Linked DNA regions of Drosophila melanogaster. The protein of the gene in region 1 interacts with the protein of each later gene in a pairwise test. Each region holds a gene or a part of one and is shown on either strand. Other genes may lie near its edges.

What was found.
Region 2: the proteins of CG1635 (region 1) and CG12992 interact in a two-hybrid assay, tested with the Drosophila melanogaster proteins (one large-scale study listed by BioGRID).
Region 3: the proteins of CG1635 (region 1) and CG7810 interact in a two-hybrid assay, tested with the Drosophila melanogaster proteins (one large-scale study listed by BioGRID).
Region 4: the proteins of CG1635 (region 1) and Pdhb interact in a two-hybrid assay, tested with the Drosophila melanogaster proteins (one large-scale study listed by BioGRID).

Annotation. Positions count from the first base shown.
Region 1 is NT_033777.3:31,586,792-31,590,908, forward strand, and holds CG1635 (uncharacterized protein), read left to right. Parts: upstream 1-1,881; 5' UTR 1,882-1,961; coding exon 1,962-2,068; intron 2,069-2,128; coding exon 2,129-2,199; exon of another isoform or gene 2,200-2,252; coding exon 2,253-2,495; exon of another isoform or gene 2,496-2,554; coding exon 2,555-3,480; 3' UTR 3,481-3,601; downstream 3,602-4,117. Other genes in the region: rod (rough deal), read left to right, coding at 1-452, 512-1,145, 1,206-1,316; CG1638 (uncharacterized protein), read left to right, coding at 3,827-3,945, 4,002-4,054, 4,108-4,117.
Region 2 is NC_004354.4:17,586,915-17,592,241, forward strand, and holds CG12992 (uncharacterized protein), read left to right. Parts: upstream 1-1,950; 5' UTR 1,951-2,016; intron 2,017-2,073; 5' UTR 2,074-2,181; intron 2,182-3,043; exon of another isoform or gene 3,044-3,100; 5' UTR 3,101-3,287; coding exon 3,288-3,554; intron 3,555-3,602; coding exon 3,603-4,634; 3' UTR 4,635-4,792; downstream 4,793-5,327.
Region 3 is NT_033779.5:8,309,320-8,312,997, reverse strand, and holds CG7810 (uncharacterized protein), read left to right. Parts: upstream 1-1,802; 5' UTR 1,803-1,874; coding exon 1,875-2,969; 3' UTR 2,970-3,122; downstream 3,123-3,678. Other genes in the region: CG7806 (uncharacterized protein), read right to left, coding at 1-613, 1,066-1,429; Mettl14 (methyltransferase like 14), read right to left, coding at 3,133-3,678.
Region 4 is NT_033777.3:29,111,249-29,116,697, reverse strand, and holds Pdhb (pyruvate dehydrogenase E1 beta subunit), read right to left. Parts: upstream 3,628-5,449; 5' UTR 3,558-3,627; exon of another isoform or gene 3,490-3,557; 5' UTR 3,441-3,489; coding exon 3,249-3,440; intron 2,705-3,248; coding exon 2,543-2,704; intron 2,270-2,542; coding exon of another isoform or gene 1,802-2,269; exon of another isoform or gene 1,752-1,801; intron 1,605-1,751; coding exon 1,193-1,604; intron 1,132-1,192; coding exon 1,012-1,131; intron 951-1,011; coding exon 739-950; 3' UTR 501-738; downstream 1-500. Other genes in the region: Atg14 (Autophagy-related 14), read right to left, coding at 1-230; alpha-Man-Ib (alpha-Mannosidase class I b), read left to right, coding at 4,201-4,287, 4,385-4,657, 4,826-5,339, 5,423-5,449. UniProt on the Drosophila melanogaster protein: The pyruvate dehydrogenase complex catalyzes the overall conversion of pyruvate to acetyl-CoA and CO(2). Might play a role in regulating synapse structure formation at neuromuscular junctions. Might play a role in maintenance of mitochondrial morphology.

The DNA.
Region 1 (4,117 bases):
GTTGCCAAGGTGAAGCGACGGTATCCTATTCAGAAGACCCAGCACCTGCTGTATGTCTATGGCCTGACCGATGAGAAGCTACTGCGCCAAGTTGAGAACCCCACCGAGCTTATTCAGGCGCTCTACCACCATGAGCTGATCCTCAAGTCCAGCAAAGTGGATATTAACGCTCTGGTCGCAGAGATAGCCAAGCTGCACGACCTCTGCTTAGCCACCATCCAGTACCGCCTGCTACAGAAGTGGCTCGCTCTGACTATGGAGTCTGCGGGTGATGGTACCATTTTGGAGGAGACCTTCATGGAGGAGCAGAACTGGCCGGAGCAGGCCAACGGCGCAGAGTCCTCCAACAGCCAGGACGCCAGCGAGAACGTAAATAGAGCGTTTTACATACTTTCCAGTTGGCCAAAGGCGGAGGCAGTCAAGTTCCTTGTGGGTCTGATCTTCAAGGGCGGGTAAGGATTGGTACTTAAAAGTTAGCGAAAATAATTCATTGAATAAACCCTTCCACCAGTTCGGTAAACACCTCCACACAGCTGCAAATGTACGAGTGCTATTCCAAGCTAAACGATGGCAGCAACTCCTTTACCAACACGATTAGCCAACGCCAGTTCATCAGCATCAAGTGTGTGCACGAGCTCAAGGCTCTGGGCTACAAGTCGAACCTGGAGAAGTTCTCCGACGACCATTGCAACAAGATTGACATTCTGAAGATGATCTGGCAGCGTAATGCGCAGAATCCCCTTTCGCTGGAAGTCATGGCCAACATTTGCCTGGGCTTTGATATACACTTGCCGCAGATCTGGAACGGCATTCTGAAGCGCATGGTCATGTTCCATATGGTGCGCGAGCTGAACGCCTTGTTGGATGTACTCAGCTGCCGGCCGCATCTACTTCACCTGGATGGACTGGCCCAGGCCTGGGACTATGTGCTCTGCCATCCTCTGCAGAACGCAGTCGAGCTACGATCCTTTAAGCAGGAAGAGGTGCTCCACAAGACGCTGCTGCGCCTGCAGGGCTGTCCGGTGGTGCACGCCCTCAACCTGCTACAGTTCGCCCAGCTCTGCATCGTCGTCCATCGACCGCACATGGCCGCCTCTCTACTCAGCTTCTGCCAGAGCAGCGAGCAACGCCAAAAGATCAAAAAGGTATGCTCGAACCGCGCACTTTAACGAAATGCTCTATTGTCACTCTAACTCTTCTTGCAGATGATACATTCCCATCCGGTGGAGAACCTTCGGCAACAGATCTTGGATCTGGAAGATGCTGGTATTTTGCCGGTGGTGCTGAACTTTGCGCTCAAGGAACTAAATCTGTAAGCGTAGAGATTTGGATTTTACTATTCCCATAATTTTTTGTTTTATTGGTCGAATATCTGCGTTAAGTGCGTTCGGGTCAAGATACTTTTGTAAATATCAAGGTTTTATACCTGCAAATATAGTTTATACAAACGATGACTATTTTCTATTTTAATTTTAATATGTTATTTTATATACAGTAGCAATTAGTCAATATTCAAACAGTACAATCTCTTAATTTCATAATTTATGCATCACAAAACAATGTGTTAATTTGAGAAATTGTCTAGGGAACTTCGCTTCCCAGTTTAAAATTAACAACAATCGGGATGACGTCATACGTATGTATCACTTCTGTAAACAGTGGGCTCAAGTTGATGGAATACTGAAAATAATGAGATATATTAGGATTTTTTTTAAATGAAGACTTTGTTGTGTAAAGAACAGTCAGTCTCAAATCAATTTAATTAAAGTAAATGGGAAAAAATTAATATACTAAAGAATCGAACTTTTCGAAATTAGTTGGAGACGAATTTTCTCGAGCCCACTGTACCAGTCAGCTGTGGCCGCCAGCTGTTTTCTATTTGGGGTTAGATCAAAGACAGGTTACACTTTGTATGTAACTTGAAAAGCAAGGAGAAAGCTGCGAAACTAAGTTAAACCGAGATGATGCGTTCTTTGATAGGAGCACAAAAGTGCTGGGGCCTGATCCGCACCAGGAACTTTATGGAATTACCCACCAAACAGGTGCCAGCATCCTTCGCATTGTTCAAGTAAGAGCAAAAAATAAATGATGAGCTTACATGGTAAATGAGTACTTTCATCTCTAACAGGCGTCACTACTCACCGCCCACGCATATCAAGCAATCAGCGGTCGCCAATGAATCCGGAACCATGGCGGAGGGTAAGTGTTGTCTTGCCAGAGTCAAACCCATCGTAATCCCCGAACGTCTGCAGTCAAGCAGGGGATGATGAAGCGATTGGGGCTGGAGCCCGGTTACAACCCGCTGCCCAAATCCAGGGAGCAGCTGCTCAAGTACCAGCCGAAGCTGGAGGATCTGCCTCCAAGAGCTATGCAGGATTCCTTCACCTCGGCCATCATTCCTCTGAGCACGGACCGCAGTTTGCAGGACAAATATGTGACCTATCTGGGCAATGTGCGATTCGGGCGACTTCTGGAGGACATGGACTTGTTTGCTGGTATGAGGAACACATTTGCTGGAATCTTGGCGCACTTTCTCACTATCCGCTATTTCCAGCTTGGTGCTGTCATAAACACCTGGTTCTGCCCAATCTGCCGGAGGGAGTTCATCTGCCGTACACCTTTGTGACCATTCTGGTGGACCGCATCGATTTCACCAATGTCTTGGCTTCAGGCACCCAAGATATCCGTTTGTCTGGGCACGTTTCCTGGGTGGGAACCAGTTCAATTGAGGTGGTAGTGTGGCTGGAACAGATGGTTGGCGGGAGGTACCAAAAGTTAACCCGTGCCTTGTTCCTGATGGCAGCAAGAAACGCTAACAATACCGGAGCGGCTCCTGTGAACCCCTTACAGCCGGCCAACGAGGAAGAGAAAGTGATTCTGGCTGGCGGCGCAGATAGAAAGAAGAAACGTCAGATTCTCTGTGCTCAGTCCATCTTTAAGGTGGAACCCAATGACCCGGAGCAGACAATTATGTACGAGCTGTACAAAAGGACAACTCCCACCAACACTTTGGAACTCAACAAGCGCATCCTGCCACCAAACTGTCGCTGGATGGAGGACTCTTTCCAGATGAGCACTATTCCCTCATTTCCGGAGCACAGGAACCACCACAACCGGGTCTTCGGAGGCTTCCTCATGCGAAGTGCCCTGGAGATAAGCTGGGCAGCAGCCTACCTCTACTGCAAAACGCGACCCAAGCTGGAGCACATATCCGACATCAGCTTCGAGAAGCCCGTCAGCGTGAACAGCTTCATCAAGATGACCGCCTATGTGGTGTACACCAAGGAGAACTACGTGCAGATCATGACCGTTGCAGATGTGATGGACCCACAAACGGGCAGCCAGGTGACCACCAACACGTTCTACTACACCTTCTCGTCTCCGGACACGGTTACCGAGGTGCTGCCCCGCTCCTACCACGAAACCATGTGGTACATCCAAGGTCGTCGAAAGTTCGAGGCCAGCATGGGCCCAGTGTAGACATGGTTCAGCCTGTGATTGTTACTCAAGATATTATGCAAGGCTATCCTACCAGATAAATGCAATTACCAGTTCAGTGTTTACAAAAAGCAATAAATGTCTGTTGTTTAATGATGTGCTTAACCAACCAGCTTAAAACTTTTAAAATCTTCTATTAAACCCTATCGAAGAGTACTAGATTAAATGTTTATTAATATAATAACTGTCAAAATAATCCCTAATTTTTGCCGACTTTACATTTTTTGGATACCCATTACCTGTAATCAAAAAAGCAGAGCTGAAGCAAAATTTATAGTTTTAATTTCGTGTCGGATCTGAGTTCAGATCTCGATCCCGATCCGTTTCCATGGGGCCTGGTCTTAGAAATGTTAAATTATGTGTTGTACCTTTTTTGCTCGGAGCCCGCAGCTGCCGGAGCTTGTTAAAGGCCAGGACCCTCAGGAAGATGACACATAAAAATTCCAGGTGAAGCACCAACACAACTAGCAGAAATCAGATTTTATAGGCCACATTTCTTCTAGCTCTAATGGGCGTAACTCCTCTGCGGACGGTCAATACGCCACTATGACGGAGAGTAAGTACTTCCATTCCAGAAATAGGTGCTACTTGTCCAGATATCCCTTTTAGTCAAGAAGAA
Region 2 (5,327 bases), on another chromosome or scaffold:
CGCCACTTTTTTACGTGCCGTATACGTGATTTATTCGCGAATAGAACGCGGCGAGACACAGGCATTTGCATAATGGAGATGATTTGGTGAAGAAGAGGGTTTGGGGAGCCGCCAGAAACCACAATTATGCAATTTCCTGGCCGTCTCTAAGCACTTAATTATGGTTATTAAAAATTTGGCAAATAGTTTCTTCGCCTTTGTGCGCCCGATCATTTGCACATAGTTAGCTTGAAGCCAGACGCATGTGAAACATCGGAATTGGCCATATCATTATGGTTAAAATAAATTGTATATTTACATACATACATACATATATGCATGTTCGGATGTGGCGTGCCAGCTCTTAGCCAGATTTGCAAATCGGCAACGAGTTGAACGAACGATGGTAGCAATATTTTGACCATCATCATCATTCAAGAGATGACAAACTGCTAAATATTGAAGCAAAAACGTGGAAAAAATAAAAGAAGTGAAGAGAAAGGCAGCCATATGAACCACATTGAATGATTAACACTCTTTAATAGCATTAATGTCTTCATTTGTTTAATTTACTAATTGATTTCGCCAAACAAAACGCTGTATTTTAATGCTTATTGGCTAGTAACCAGAATAACTTGGCTTTGGCTTGGCCAGTAAGTAATAAAAGCCAACAAATGGTAAATAATAGATGGTGGTATCATATCGGACAGTGAATAAGGTCAGTTATAGTTTATTCAGTAGGGGTTTTAGTAAGCGATCAAACTAGTACCCAAAATGAATTAATAAAGGCAAGATAGCAAAGGAAAGAGGTTAGTATTTGCTGGTCAAACCGCCCGTTTTGAGGTCAAACCAAACCCCCTTGAGGGAGTTGGGGTAAATAGTTTTGCTTGCACTTAAACGAAATCAATGCGATTAAAATCGACTTGGCCCAGTCTTGCGGACGGCCAACTGAACTAGCCTTATCAACCATCGAGAATCGGTGTCAGCTAATCGAGCACCCACAACTACAACAACAAACCGCTGTCCCCAATAGTGGAGCACCACTTGGTCATTCCGACCACGTCGCATGGAAATGGAAAACGAGACGAAAACAGAAATGGAAACGGAAAACAAACCTAGAAGCCGAAACCAAAACAGAATAAGAAGCAGCGCCACTCCAAACATGGTCAACGAAATTTGTTTTGTGTTTTGTCACTTTCTCAGCCCAGAACCAAAGAAACACAAACGCGTCATATGGGTGCGCCCTTCAGAAAAATGTGCACAATAATGGGCAAAAGTGTACATGGCTTATAAAGTATTATTCTTACAAATACTGTGACTATAAATCGGATTTAATAACAACTAATCAATTCAATGGACAACTCAGCATTTGCATTATATTAAACCTCTAATGTGAACGCGCTTATGATATTCAAAGTTCAAAGTGTTATTTAGTCAAATAAGGTAATATGTCTGCTAGTAATTTGCCCCCTGCTGTAGTAACTATGTACGTCATTTGCAGGGGTTCTGAACCCAACCCATAGCAGTGGTTCACGTTACACTCGAGCACGTTCTTATCGCAATTAATTGCAGCGCATTGCATAAGCATCGCAAACTTATAGGGTGATACCAAAACGTAAACATAATCTCTGACTCAGCCCAGTGGGTAGCAATTATTAATTATAATTAATAAGCCAAAAGCCAAGGCAAGTCTTGCTTTGATTGGCCAAAAACGCAGCCAGAAGCGGAAAACAAAAACTGAGTCGAATTACACCACAGTTCAAGGGATACAAAAGGGAGTGGGCTGGGGGTCGATATCTGGCTAAGATCGGTGAGCTTACCCAGCCGGATCGGCACTGGAGCGCATCTGAGTGTGTCCACGTCAGCGGGCATCCAAAACAGAGCAGAAATCTTGAGATCCGAGTAATCTAGATATTGTCCTTCAAGTCAGTATTGTGCCACTCAACTGATCAACTTAAGTAGCTTGGAAATTTACATCAAATTATGACAAGTTGTTAGAAAAGTAGTATATACATATTCCTTGGCACGGGCCTTAAAGTAATATACATTTCTTTCTTATAAAATGTTTAATTTTATTACTTGATTTACTTGCAGTTGCATCTGAAGTGCAAGAAGGAAACAAATTAAATATTCACTAGGGCGGAATACTAAGGAAAACTCAAGCCACACACTGAGGAAATCAAAGTAGGAACAACTAAAACTGTAAGTAGTAACGCAAGGAAAATAAGGGAAATTGGGAAAAGGGAAAACAAGCAACATCAACATCTGCAAATCATATGCAGAGCGTCACTCGCATATGGATATGAGATTTCAGATTTTCGTGACCATATCCGGTTGCCAGTCAGCAGTTGCAACTGCAATTGCAGCTTCCATCAAAACAATAGCAAAAACCAAAAGACGAAATGCGGAGCGAACTGAAAACGCAACTTGGGTCTTTTGGGGCCCAGGGAAATCGCATCTTGGCATTCGCCATTGTTGCTATGGGGATTTTTTTCTTTTTTGGCGGGGGGTGTACAATAAATATAGGGTGGAAGTTGCGTAAAACGATGATATGATATTCACACATAGATCGGGCGATAACATCAATAACTAAAGATGATGTGGAAATCAGAAGGTTCAAATGATGTGCCTATAAGGTTACATACATAAATAAATAGATAAATACATACTCTTACATACATACAAAGGTTGTTTTCTAGTCTAGCAAATGATGTTTTAAATAAGAGAAATGTATTTGTAAGAGTACATAACTTGTATCATAAATTAATAATATTATTAAGACTCAACAATGGTTTGGTCTAAAATAATCCACCATTTGATTCAGTGTTTTGAATCCAAATTAAGTTAAGTTTGTTTTTGTTTTGATTTATATCCAGTGTTGAATAAGCTTTTCATGTACTGTGTGTGTGTGTGTGTGTGTGCATATGTTTATGTTCATCTTATCTTGTTTATCTAGCATTGTATAATTAGGTTTAGATTTTGTTAGAATAAGTTTAGATACATCCAGTGCTGTATAATGTTCCAATAACTACATATTTATCTAGTATTGCATAATTCATTTTAGTGTTTAAATAAGTTTAGATAAATCCAGTATTGTTTAATTTGCTGATGAACTTAGCAGTGATTGGCCGAAAGTGGGAAACCTAACCTCATGTTCTAGAAAAAGAATCGCCAACAAATTTCAAGTAAGCAGTGCCTTCTGTCAACTCGAATGTCATTTGGAATTGCCTGAGCTCTATTCAGTTTCGTATACCTCCGGATTACACGTACTAACGTTTGAAAAAAAAAAAACTAAAATTCCAATCAAAATGCCACACAAAAAATTTCCCAGAATGTCACAGGCGCAACTCAAACGTTTGATCAAATCACAAAATCAGAACATAGCAAAGGCCGCGTGTATTTTGGAACCCCCAAAAATTATACAGCAGCCGTCGATGAGGCAGTCCATCATTCCACCGAATCCTGCTTATAGCAAGAAACAGGGCAAAAATGCGGCTCGCCCAAATTCCGAGCGAGCTGGAAAGGTGCCAATGCAGGGGCTGAACCACGTGGTGCCGGAGGACACTGTGAAACAGGTGAAGCAATAAGTATAGTGCAAAAAGCGGGCTTATCGCATAAAATAGTACTTTCAGCATAATCAATCTAAGCAGATGCAACGCAATCGAAGGAATCCATCGTCGAAGATGCAACAAAATGGCAATGAAGCATCCAAGCAGGAGAAGCCCAATCAGCACGAGGACAAGAGCCGTCCCAAGCAGTTGTATTCAAGCGTTGTGGCCAATAAGCAAGACGGGCCCACCGCAGTGAATGCTCCTCCACCCAAGGAGGGCTCATCTGTCAATCAAATTGGATCGTGTTGTCATCATGGCAATGTTTCGGGCGAAAAGCAGAAATGTCCGGATACCAGCTCATCATCCGCCACGTTCACTTGGCCCAGTCAATCGGTTAAAAGCCAGGGGTTTTTCGGAACTAGCGATTCTTCAGCTGACCCATTCAGCATGCAGAATCTGAAGAAGATTGCCCGGGATTTCTTCTCATATCCGGAGTTTCATCCACCGGAGGCCAGCGAAAACATTGCCGCTGCCAATGGCTCCAAGAAAGCTGAGCCCTCGAGGACGAAATCCCAGCCGGGTCTCAACTCTTCGCCGAGAGGCTCTGCCTTGGGTGCCGATAGGTCGGGCCATCCTCAATCGATTGCGGGTGGAACGAATTCTCGCCGGAAGGATTATCCATTGGAGGAGGCCTTCATGACCGTAATCCGCAATCTGCGCGAAAATTATCCGGGCAATGATTCGATTTCATCTTCAAATCGCCCGAATATCCAATTTGATAACTACCAATCGGCGCAAGGTTTCGGCTATGGTTCCAATTCCTATTACAACGCTCAATCGACATCCGCTTACGGCTATCCTCCGACTGGTTTTCCGATGTCCCAGCAGTCAGGCTTCATGCCAAAGTATAACCAAATGCCGACGGCTAATGGTTCAAATTTAAATCAACCGCCATTGATTAGCGAAACTTATCAGGCCGAAGCGCAGCAGCATCCTTGCTGGCCGGTATATATTCCGGAATATGTTTCGCATTTTATGTTCGGTGAGCCACAGGACGCCAATGCCAGCTGCTCTCGTAATTCAAACCACGGCAACAAGATGTAAAATAGAATCCGGAGGGAAATCGGAATAGTGTAGCATTTAAAAATCTATTCATCATTCAACACCATTCGAAAAAAATTGCTAATGTAATACACAGACCAATTCCGTAATCCTAATCATTTATTTTGCATCTATGTATTAATAAACATTTGTAATGTTACAAATATTTTCCATATATTTGTAAGCCAATTACACTTAACCATCTTTTGTAATGATGCAATCCGAAGATAAACAAAAAATGTATGCATCTCAACTACCTCAATTAGAATTTAAGTAAAATGTGTAATGATGATGATGTATAAAGAAATGCCATCAAATTTCACTTTCAACTCGGCGGAAGAAAGTGAAAAACATGCGAAAAAAGAAATTAATGAAAAAATCGAGCAGCTTACCAACAATTGAAATAAAGGAAAAAATCAACTAGTCAGCGTCGATTGTTTGGTGGTCAGTTGTTTGGTTTTCTACTATTACCAAACCAATGCCAACAAAAGAAATTTTTTTCTTTTTTCTTTTTTGGCCAAGTAAAATAAGAAATCAAATAAGATGAATCTTGCCTTATAAAATGTGAAATTTTCCTGCCATTATGATTAGAATTTGGGCTTAAGCTCATTATCTAATCAAAGATATTGATAACACCTGCGAAAAAGCAATTGAAGAAACTTACGATTGATTGATATACTTAATGTGATCGAATTT
Region 3 (3,678 bases), on another chromosome or scaffold:
TGATCCTGTCGGAGAAGTCCTCCGAGCAGTAGAGGTCCAGCAAAGCCACTCAAGTCGGCGATCAATCGAAGGATACCAATAAGGTAAAACTCCACACCAAAGCATCTATGCAGGGCTCTCCATAAACTTTGCGATTGCGATAGAGCCAAGTGCAACTTCTCGCTCAGTCGTGTGATGTTCAGGGCATCGGGGAGATCGAACAGATCCTCAATCTTTCTCAGCTTTCCAGCCACTCCTTTCAAGATTAGGGGCTGAACCCAGTGGAAGAGGAAACGCGATCCCAAATTGGCTTCGTCCTGGGCATGACCCAAATGGCTCTCATTCAGATCGAATTGAAAATATGTATATCGCTGGGATAGCAGGCCCTCATCCTCTCTGGCAGAAACTCCTGATCTGGGCAAACTGGAGTAAACAGCACTTCCTTTTGGTATTAAGGTGACTCCAAACAGAAGATCGCAGACCAACGTGGCCAAGCTCCAGGGCCACCAGCTAAAGTGTCGACTTGTCCGCAGCCAGACTGCATCCAAAACGACTACTGTGAGCCAAACGACATTGATTAGCAGCGATCCCCGATGACTAAGCTCTCCATATTGACGGGCTGTCAGTAGGAAACCTGTGAGTGGGGGAGGAATAGGAAAACTGATTAGCAAAGGGGTCATAAATTATTGTTTGTAGACTTATCATTTTATTGCAGAATACTACTTCTCTGCTTTTCTCAGAAATTTATGTATGCTTCTATTTAACAGACAACATAAAACGCCATATATTTGTAAAGTTAGGAAGTGAAACAAAGGAAGTTGTAATTGCCTGAATAAATCTAGATATATGAAAAGAAAGAACTACGTTTGTTTTGCGGATAAAATGGCAATTCATTTCAAAAAGCAAATAAATGTGCCAAGTTAAAATGTGTTAAGCATTAAACTGATAAGGACTAATTACATATTTGTATTTGATAAAAAGAAAGTCGGATATACAATCGCAGCCCCTAAAAGGGAAACCCGCATATGCACCTAAGATATTGAATCGAGATGTAAACCCCCGGAGAAAGGAAAACCGCACACTCACCGCTGTGAACCACCCACATAATGCATTCGGCACTGACAACCAGCAGATCCGCCGCAAACAGTTCAACGCCCTGCTGATGGAAGGCGAACACCTTGGCCACCGGTAGCAGGGCCAGTACCATGGCCAGGAAGGTACGAATCGAAAGCATACGCAATTGCAATCCATTACGTACGACATGTCGTGACTGATTGCCGAAATTGTAGGCGGATATGGCGGCGAAGAGCGTGTATACGGGCAGCTGGAGCAGGATCTCCTGAAAGCAAGGCAGCAGATCGTTGGTCTCGTTGGCGAACGGTTTCAATCCCGTCGGACAGAACTGCGTCCAGTTCCAGGCAAAGTCGCCCCAGTCCACCACAGATGACATCTCGATCGAAATCTTTGATGGATTCTTTGGTCTTCCGCTAAACTTGCTCAGTTAGTCATCGCTGCCTGCATATTTGCACCACTGAACCACCGAGTGGCGTTAAACAAAGCGATAAACACAACAATTGGACCTCAGATAAAGTTCGTAATGAAAATACAGCCGCTATGTGGAGCCGCAGGGTTGCCAACTATCAAAATCGTTGAACGGTTTCCTTTTCGTCTTTTTTTTTGAATGGAAATATTTTCATTGTATTATGCATAATACATATTTTCAAAGATCGTAATTTTTTTTTCAGACAGAGAACTTGGTTTATTTTCACAATCGCTAATTTTTTATCGAAAAATTTAATTACTCTGGCAACTCTATGTAAATGACATTGGCTAAGAAAGAAGAAGCATTTGTTTACGTTTCTATTTCACACTTTGTGCAATTTGTGTAAACAATTATGACAACTGGAAGCGATGCTGACGGGGATGGTGACCACCAGGGCAACAATGACATCGTCCCAAATCCAGAACATCCTCCGGAGATAATAGACATCTTCAAATCCTTGGCCGAAAACAATCAAATCGTCTTTAAGTCGCAGCAAATTGATGATCCGGAAATTCCGGTCGAAGAGAAGCAACAAATAGCACGAGATGCCTTCGATAAGAACCGTGAGAACTTTCTCATCCGATTTGGAGGCTTCCTGAATGTAAGACAACTGGGTTCCTTCCAGGAACTGGCTGTCAAGGAACCCATTAAAGCAGATGAAAATCTGGAGGAGATGTGCCTGCTGCTAGAGGATTTTAGGAGGAAACTCAACACTCGTGCGGTATCCATTAAAAACCGAAGATACCATGCCATGCAGCAGCTCCTTGACAAGGGAGAATACTTTAGCGAACACGAGATGATGCAAAGGGCGCCGGATCTCTACCAGGAGCTAGTGGGTCAGTACCTAACGGAGGCGGAAAAGAAGGCTCGGGATAGTTACGATGTTCGGAATACTAGCTTCTCAGGAATACTAATGCATACGTTGGAGAAAAAGCAAAGAGATGAATTACTAGAGGAAACGCAGCAGGAAGGAAAGCAGAGCGTGCAGGTCACAAGTGAATCCAATCCTCAGGCAGACTGTGACGTTCCTGTCGCTTGCCGAAAGCAGTGGGGTGGATTTGAAGATGATGAACCAGTGGCCTGTTCAACGAGTCGAAATGCGGAAGTCCGAGCTCCAATGAATACAACTATGATCTCCACACCGGAGTTCTATAATCCTGGAGAGCGAGAACTACTACGCAATGAGTTCTTGAGTATGATGAAGGAACGCTTTCTTAGTGGCGAAGACAAGGATTTTGATTATAAGGCCGTAGATGATAACACTTTGCTGGATGATCTGAAGCAAATTGAGCAGGATGAAGAAGATGCCTACTTTGAGGATAGCGAGGACGAGGAGGAATTGGAGGAGCATGCTGCGGATGAGAATGCTATATCTAGCGAAGATGACTTGGATATCTACATGAGGCATCTAAGCAATCATCACAGTCTCCAGAATAGTCACGGATAATAAATGAAAGCTGCTGGTCGCTCGGCATCCAAAGAAAACCCTGGAAATCGATAGGATACTCAGCATTCTGCAGCAATAGACTTTAATGTTAATCTTATTCTTAGCCTTAAAAACTTTTGATCTTAGACACTAGAATACACGCAGTTGTTGAGTAAAAATGCTGTTATCTGGGCCTTCCACGACCACGTGGAAAGCCGCGTCCTCTTCCTCTTAAAACTTTGCTATTCGGCGGCGGACTCTTGGGCCTCAGTAGTTCAATCCTACTAGTGCAACCGGTGGCTGGAGCCTCAGCAAAGTAGGTCTGGTATAGCTCGGAGTTGAAGTTCGAGTTCGTCAGTTCCGGACCAACAGTTAGCCAACCTGGTCGAATACTCGAATCTCTGCCGAACAGATGCAAACGCCGTCGACCCAAGCAGAAATGTTCGATGATGTGAAAGATCTCGATGGGCTTCTCGAAGCTGCCAAACTCCTCTTCCTCTGAGATGATTAAATCAATGTCCACGTTGGCATGGATAAAATCGCCATCAGTGGAGCGGCGAACAGTTCCTTTGATTCCCATCAGGCAGTGTTCCTTGGTGCGTTGAAAGACCGCTTTCGGTTCAAGTTGCTTGGAGTGCCCGGGCTTGTTAATGTTGGTCCGTATCCAACATATGTCTTCGCACCTCCGGAATCCCCACTTCTTCAGGCAGTTGCGGCCCATGTCCAAGCC
Region 4 (5,449 bases), 2.5 Mb from region 1:
CTGCAGCTGTGGCACAGTGGGCACCGCATGTGGGCACCCATTCCCGTGGTGGCGTTCCTATCCTTGGCGTTCGCATCCTTCAACAGTTCCTTCGTCGCTGCCGTTGGCCTGCGCTTTGTTGTGTATCCTGCGACATCTGATTCCTCGTCCTCGCCGTTTGTGGAGGCGCTCGAGATGCGAAAGTTGTCGGGGGCCTTGCAGCTTTCGTCGGAGCTGGAGCTGTTTGCCATTACAGCCAAAGCATTGCAATTATTTGTTATGTTATATCTTTTGTTATTGTTAACTTTGCTATTATCGCTATCGATATGAGGACACCTATTGCTAAACGATAGGCTGATATCGAAAAAATAGATGTCGTCAGTGTTGGACAGCGTTCAATAGGAAAACGTTTTCATCGGTGCGCGCACTTTTTAAACTTCAATCATTAACGATAAGAATTATATATTTTTTATCTTCTGATATTATATCATTAACTATACCAAAATATAAGCACTCAAAATGTATTTATGTTTTCGTTTATTTTTCACAAGAGATTTCTATAACCAAATAATTAAACTAGAACGTCCGAAAACTAATCAAAACCCGAAAGCGGTAGTGCTTTATTTTCAGAACATTCAATTTCCAGTTCGGTGCACTATTATGGGGGCAGCTCGGTTAGACCAGAGGCAGCGTTTCGACTTGGACTATAAATTTAGTTAGCTGGGGGTTCCGATCGGGAGGCTGGCTAGTCCTGAGTTCCTACTTGTTGGCCGCAGCGGCCTTGCCCACTTTGCCACCCAAGACCTTAAGAGTCGCCTCCACGAGATCCTGAACGCGGGGCAGGGCGTGGGCCTCCAGCGTCTTGGCATAGGGCATGGGCACATCCACGCCGGCGCAGCGCCATACGGGGGCGTCCAGCTCGAAGAAGGTCTGGTCCTCCATTATGCGGGCGCAGATCTCAGCTCCAACGCCTAAGAGGGTAAAAATTTATAAATATCGCTAGGCTTTCAATTAGCTGAATTTCCCACTCACCGTGTTGGGGCCAGCCGTTCTCCACGGTCACCAGATGGTGGGTCTTTCGTACAGAGGCGAAGATGGTCGCCGTGTCCAGAGGACGAATGGAGCGCAGGTTAATGACCTCAGCCTCAATACCTAAACATATAAGAGAAGGTTAGCTACTTTTCGCGTCATTCAAAGTAAAACAGTGCCGTACCCTTCTTGGCCAGCTCGGCAGCTGCCAGAAGCGATGTCTCCACCGCCTTGGAATGCGCCACCAGGGTAATGTCCTTGCCCGGCCGCATTACCTTGGCCTTGCCGATGGGCACCAAGAAGTCCTTGTCGGCCACGTTATCGGCCACAGGGAATGCCGTGCCATAGACCAGCTCATTCTCCAGGAAGACCACTGGATCGGGATCACGGATTGCGGACTTCAACAGTCCGCGGGCATCCTCGGCATCGTATGGCGAAAGGACCTTCAGGCCGGGGCAGTGGGCGTACCAGGCGGCGAAGCACTGAGAGTGCTGGGCGGCAACACCGGAAGCGGCTCCATTGGGACCACGGAACACAATGGGCACATTGACGGCACCGGCAGACATGTAGAAGGTCTTGGCCGCCGAGTTGATGATCTAAGATTTGAAATTTTAAAGGGATATATTTTAGCAATCCATATTATTATGAATGTGTAATATGACTTAGAAATAATAAAGTGAAAAATGAATGAAAATAATGCTCAGTGTGGATGCCTGTTCCATCAAACTGCAAATTCGCCAATTCAAGTTAATACGCTTTATTTGATGCACTCCTTTCTGTTCCGTCTTGATCTTTACTTAATGCCTAGTTTCTGCTTAATGATAAATGCCGGCAGGCGGCGTCCCTTCCAGAAACGCGGCAGCGGCGTCTCGTTGGCCTGCCGCAGGATCTCCGCCACGTGCTGCTCCGCACTGAATGCCTCCGCCTGCTTGATCTGGGATATCAGCTTTGCTTGGAAGGCCTTCTCTTTGCGCATCTCGCGGCGCTGGCGCACCTTGGCCCACTCGAACTTCATCTTGCGACGCAGCTTCTTTAGCTTGTGCTTCTTCATCTTGCGCCGCCGAATGACGATGAGGCGGGCCGCCTCCATCTTGTCCGACTTGCTCTTGTCCAGCGGCGGCGCAATCACCTCGCCGACTCGATCTCTGTGCAGGATGTCGTTGATCTCATTCAGCCAAGTTGAGCGTGGACTTTCAATTATGAGGCTTATTGGCAGAGGGCGATCACCGACTGGCGGCTTGGCGCAATCGAGTATCTTTGCCTGCACATAATCGGATAATATGGGTGGGGATTAGTGAGGTCCGATCTATGACTTGGGGCAGGAGCTAATCCACCCATATTATCCCATTAAGCGCCGCTGCATATTGCACTTGAATTGGTCTATTTGCTAGCTGTTGGAGTTGTGAGGCATTTGTATTGGATTGTCGTGTTCTTTCTTTTGGTTTACGTTTTGTTGGCAATGAGATAATATGAGTAGTTAGCCTACTGCTGGAGTGCGGGGAGTGGTTCTTAGGACAAGGATGAGGCAACTCACGTGATCGATGGCCTGCATGGAGAAGTTCCAGGTCATGAACTCGCACACGGGACGCAGACCGGCCATGGCAGCGCCAACAGCGATGCCGGCAAAGCCCATCTCTGTGATTGGCGTGTCGATGACGCGCTTGTCGCCGTACTTCTTCCACAGTCCACGGGAAACCTAAAAAGGGCATTAAATGATTAATAGAATGTTAGGATACCAGAAAAATATGTAGGGCTTATTCAGGATGGGAACCTTTTATCTGTTTGTAAAACTTTCCAAGCTGATAACTCATTAACTAAGATTTCTTCAGGAAATACCATTATTCTAACAGGTAATTGTATTGTACTTTGCGTGTCCTATCTAGTTGTTACACCAGTAGCCACAATCATAGTTTAAATGAATCTAATAGGATAGAATTGCTAACGCCGGTTATCAATCCACCTCAAATGGGTAAACAAATCGTTGTTTTATGGGCCAATCTATATAATCAGCAGACAGTCGGTCACACATATTCTGCGTGACCTTGCCCACTCCGATCACGCATTCGGATTCGCGTCGACCTGTTCGGAATCACTATCAGTAGTTACATATAGCACGCATATATCACCCCGCTGACCACCAACTTCCCCCATCCCGGCCACCTGCATCAGCTGTCGTCGTCGCAACCGCCTGCTTGCTGTTTACGTAATCGCGCAGGGGCAGGAAAAGTCGCAGATCTCACCTTGTAAGCACCGTCGTACTGGGCCACCTCCTCGCCCAGGATGAAGACGCGGTCGTCGCGGGCCAGCTCATCGTCCAATGCGCTGTTGAGGGCATCTCGCACGGTCATCTGCTTGGCCGCCAGGGCCTTCTGGCTGGTGGAGAACGCTCGCTGGGCGGAGCTGGCCGCCTGGATGAGTCGGGTTCGGAGCATCGTCGGTTTGCGGTTCGCTTTCCTATGGGTCTATCGCTATCGTTGCCGGCTGTAGGTGTTATTTTTTGGGTTTTAAGTGCTATTATCTAACTAAAAATGGGCTATGGGTTTACGCACCGACTTCCGTCGAAATTTTGATGTGAAAATGGGATGTGACCAGATGTGACCACTTTAATGCCGTATTGTGGGCACACTTGGAGCTTACCAGGGCTGCCAAATAAATCACTGTTAAGTGGGACTAGTGTTGGCCACTCTAGATTTGGCTAAATTCATACTGTGTTAGCTGGATTTTCGAAAAAATTAGCCACTTCGTATTAATATATATTCTTTAGAAAAATTCTTTTATAAAGTAGTGATAATATCTAAAATATAATTTAATTTGCTTTTTTTTTATTTAAGAGGTATTTCAAAAGTAAATGATTGCTAGCCCCATCTTTAGTTTTGGCCGGACTGTTGAAGAACAAGTTGGCAGCATTGCAGCTCAAAAATGCAGCTCTCGTGAAATAATTTTAGAATTTCTTATTTGTAATTTTGCATAGTGTGGGCCAGAACTAGCATATATAAATTAATGCACTGGCACGTATAGAGATGATTAAGGCATAAAAGAGGTAGTAGTTGGACCAACCTTGGTTAGTTAGCTCCGATTCCTCCGCGGCCAGCGGCGCACAGCAATCGATTTTTATTCGAGGCGAATGCTGTGGAATTTCCCATCCAACTTTCCCACACTCTGAATTCCGGCGGCGGCATTTAGTGAAACACTATGAAGGACGGCGGTCACATAACGCTCACACTCCCGCCGGGATCAGCGGCGACGACGGACGAGCGGGGCAGGAAGAGCCTGCGTCGGGTAGGTAGCAACCTGGCAGAAGTCCAGTTGCTGGGGTCCTGGGACATCCTCAAGAAACCCAGAACTTATAAGTACGATCTTTTGTCTCACGGTTCAGGCTTGGAATCAGCTACCGCGTTGTCAGCGCAATCTCATTATTCTGGGCATCACCGGATTCTGCGTGACAGTGTTGCTCTGCCTAAGTGGCGATCAGCTGCTGGCTGCCAGCTTAAAGGATGTGGACACCAAGGCCGAGGTGGCAGCATATCAAATGCCCCTGCCCAATCCGCACCATCATCCGGGGGTGGATAAGGATGTGCCCAAAGACACTGCTGCGGTACCTGTTCCGGCCGATAAGAGAGCACCCCGGGTGGAGGCGGTTAGTGATAAGGTAAGTAGGCCCCCCACTTAATTGATAAGTGCCTAAGTGGCTGGAGTTGTTTGCCTATTAAGATAGCATGCGTATCAATACGATTGACTATTGGTGTTTGATTTATTGCCCACGCAGCACACTTCCAGTAAAATCTATTAATGATATCTCAATATCAATCAATTTCAGTTTAATGAGCTAGTTGCCTATGGAGAAGCGAACTCAGCGGAGAACGTGGCCCGTCTGCCGGAGACGGTGGCTGCTGAAGGACTTCCCCAGGCCTCGGCCATGGCCGTGGCCTTGCCTCCCCCCGATAGTAACAAGGAGCAGGACATCGGTGGAATCGACATCCTAAACAATGTAGAGGAGCCCGTCGCCCAGGATCCAGCAGAGCCGCTTAGCGAGGGCGAGCAGCTTGAGCAAGCCATCAAGAACCCACTCACTCTGGGCGGCGTTAGCTTCAAAGAGCATCTCAAAAAGATCAAGCCCATTCTGGCCAAGGGCCAGCACTTCCATGGCGCCACCAACGAAAGACAGTCGGCTGTTGTAGCCGCCTTCAAGCACTCCTGGGCTGGCTACAAGAAGTATGCCTGGGGCCACGACAACCTGAAGCCCATCTCCCAGTACTCCCACGAGTGGTTCGGTCTGGGACTAACCATTGTTGACTCATTGGATACCATGTACATAATGGGACTGGATGATGGTAAGTTGCCTATATCCTAATGTGCACAAAATCATTAGTTTATGGAAATACTTTCCTTATTTTTCTCAATAACATCTACACAGAATTCAAGGAAGGACGCGACTGGGTAG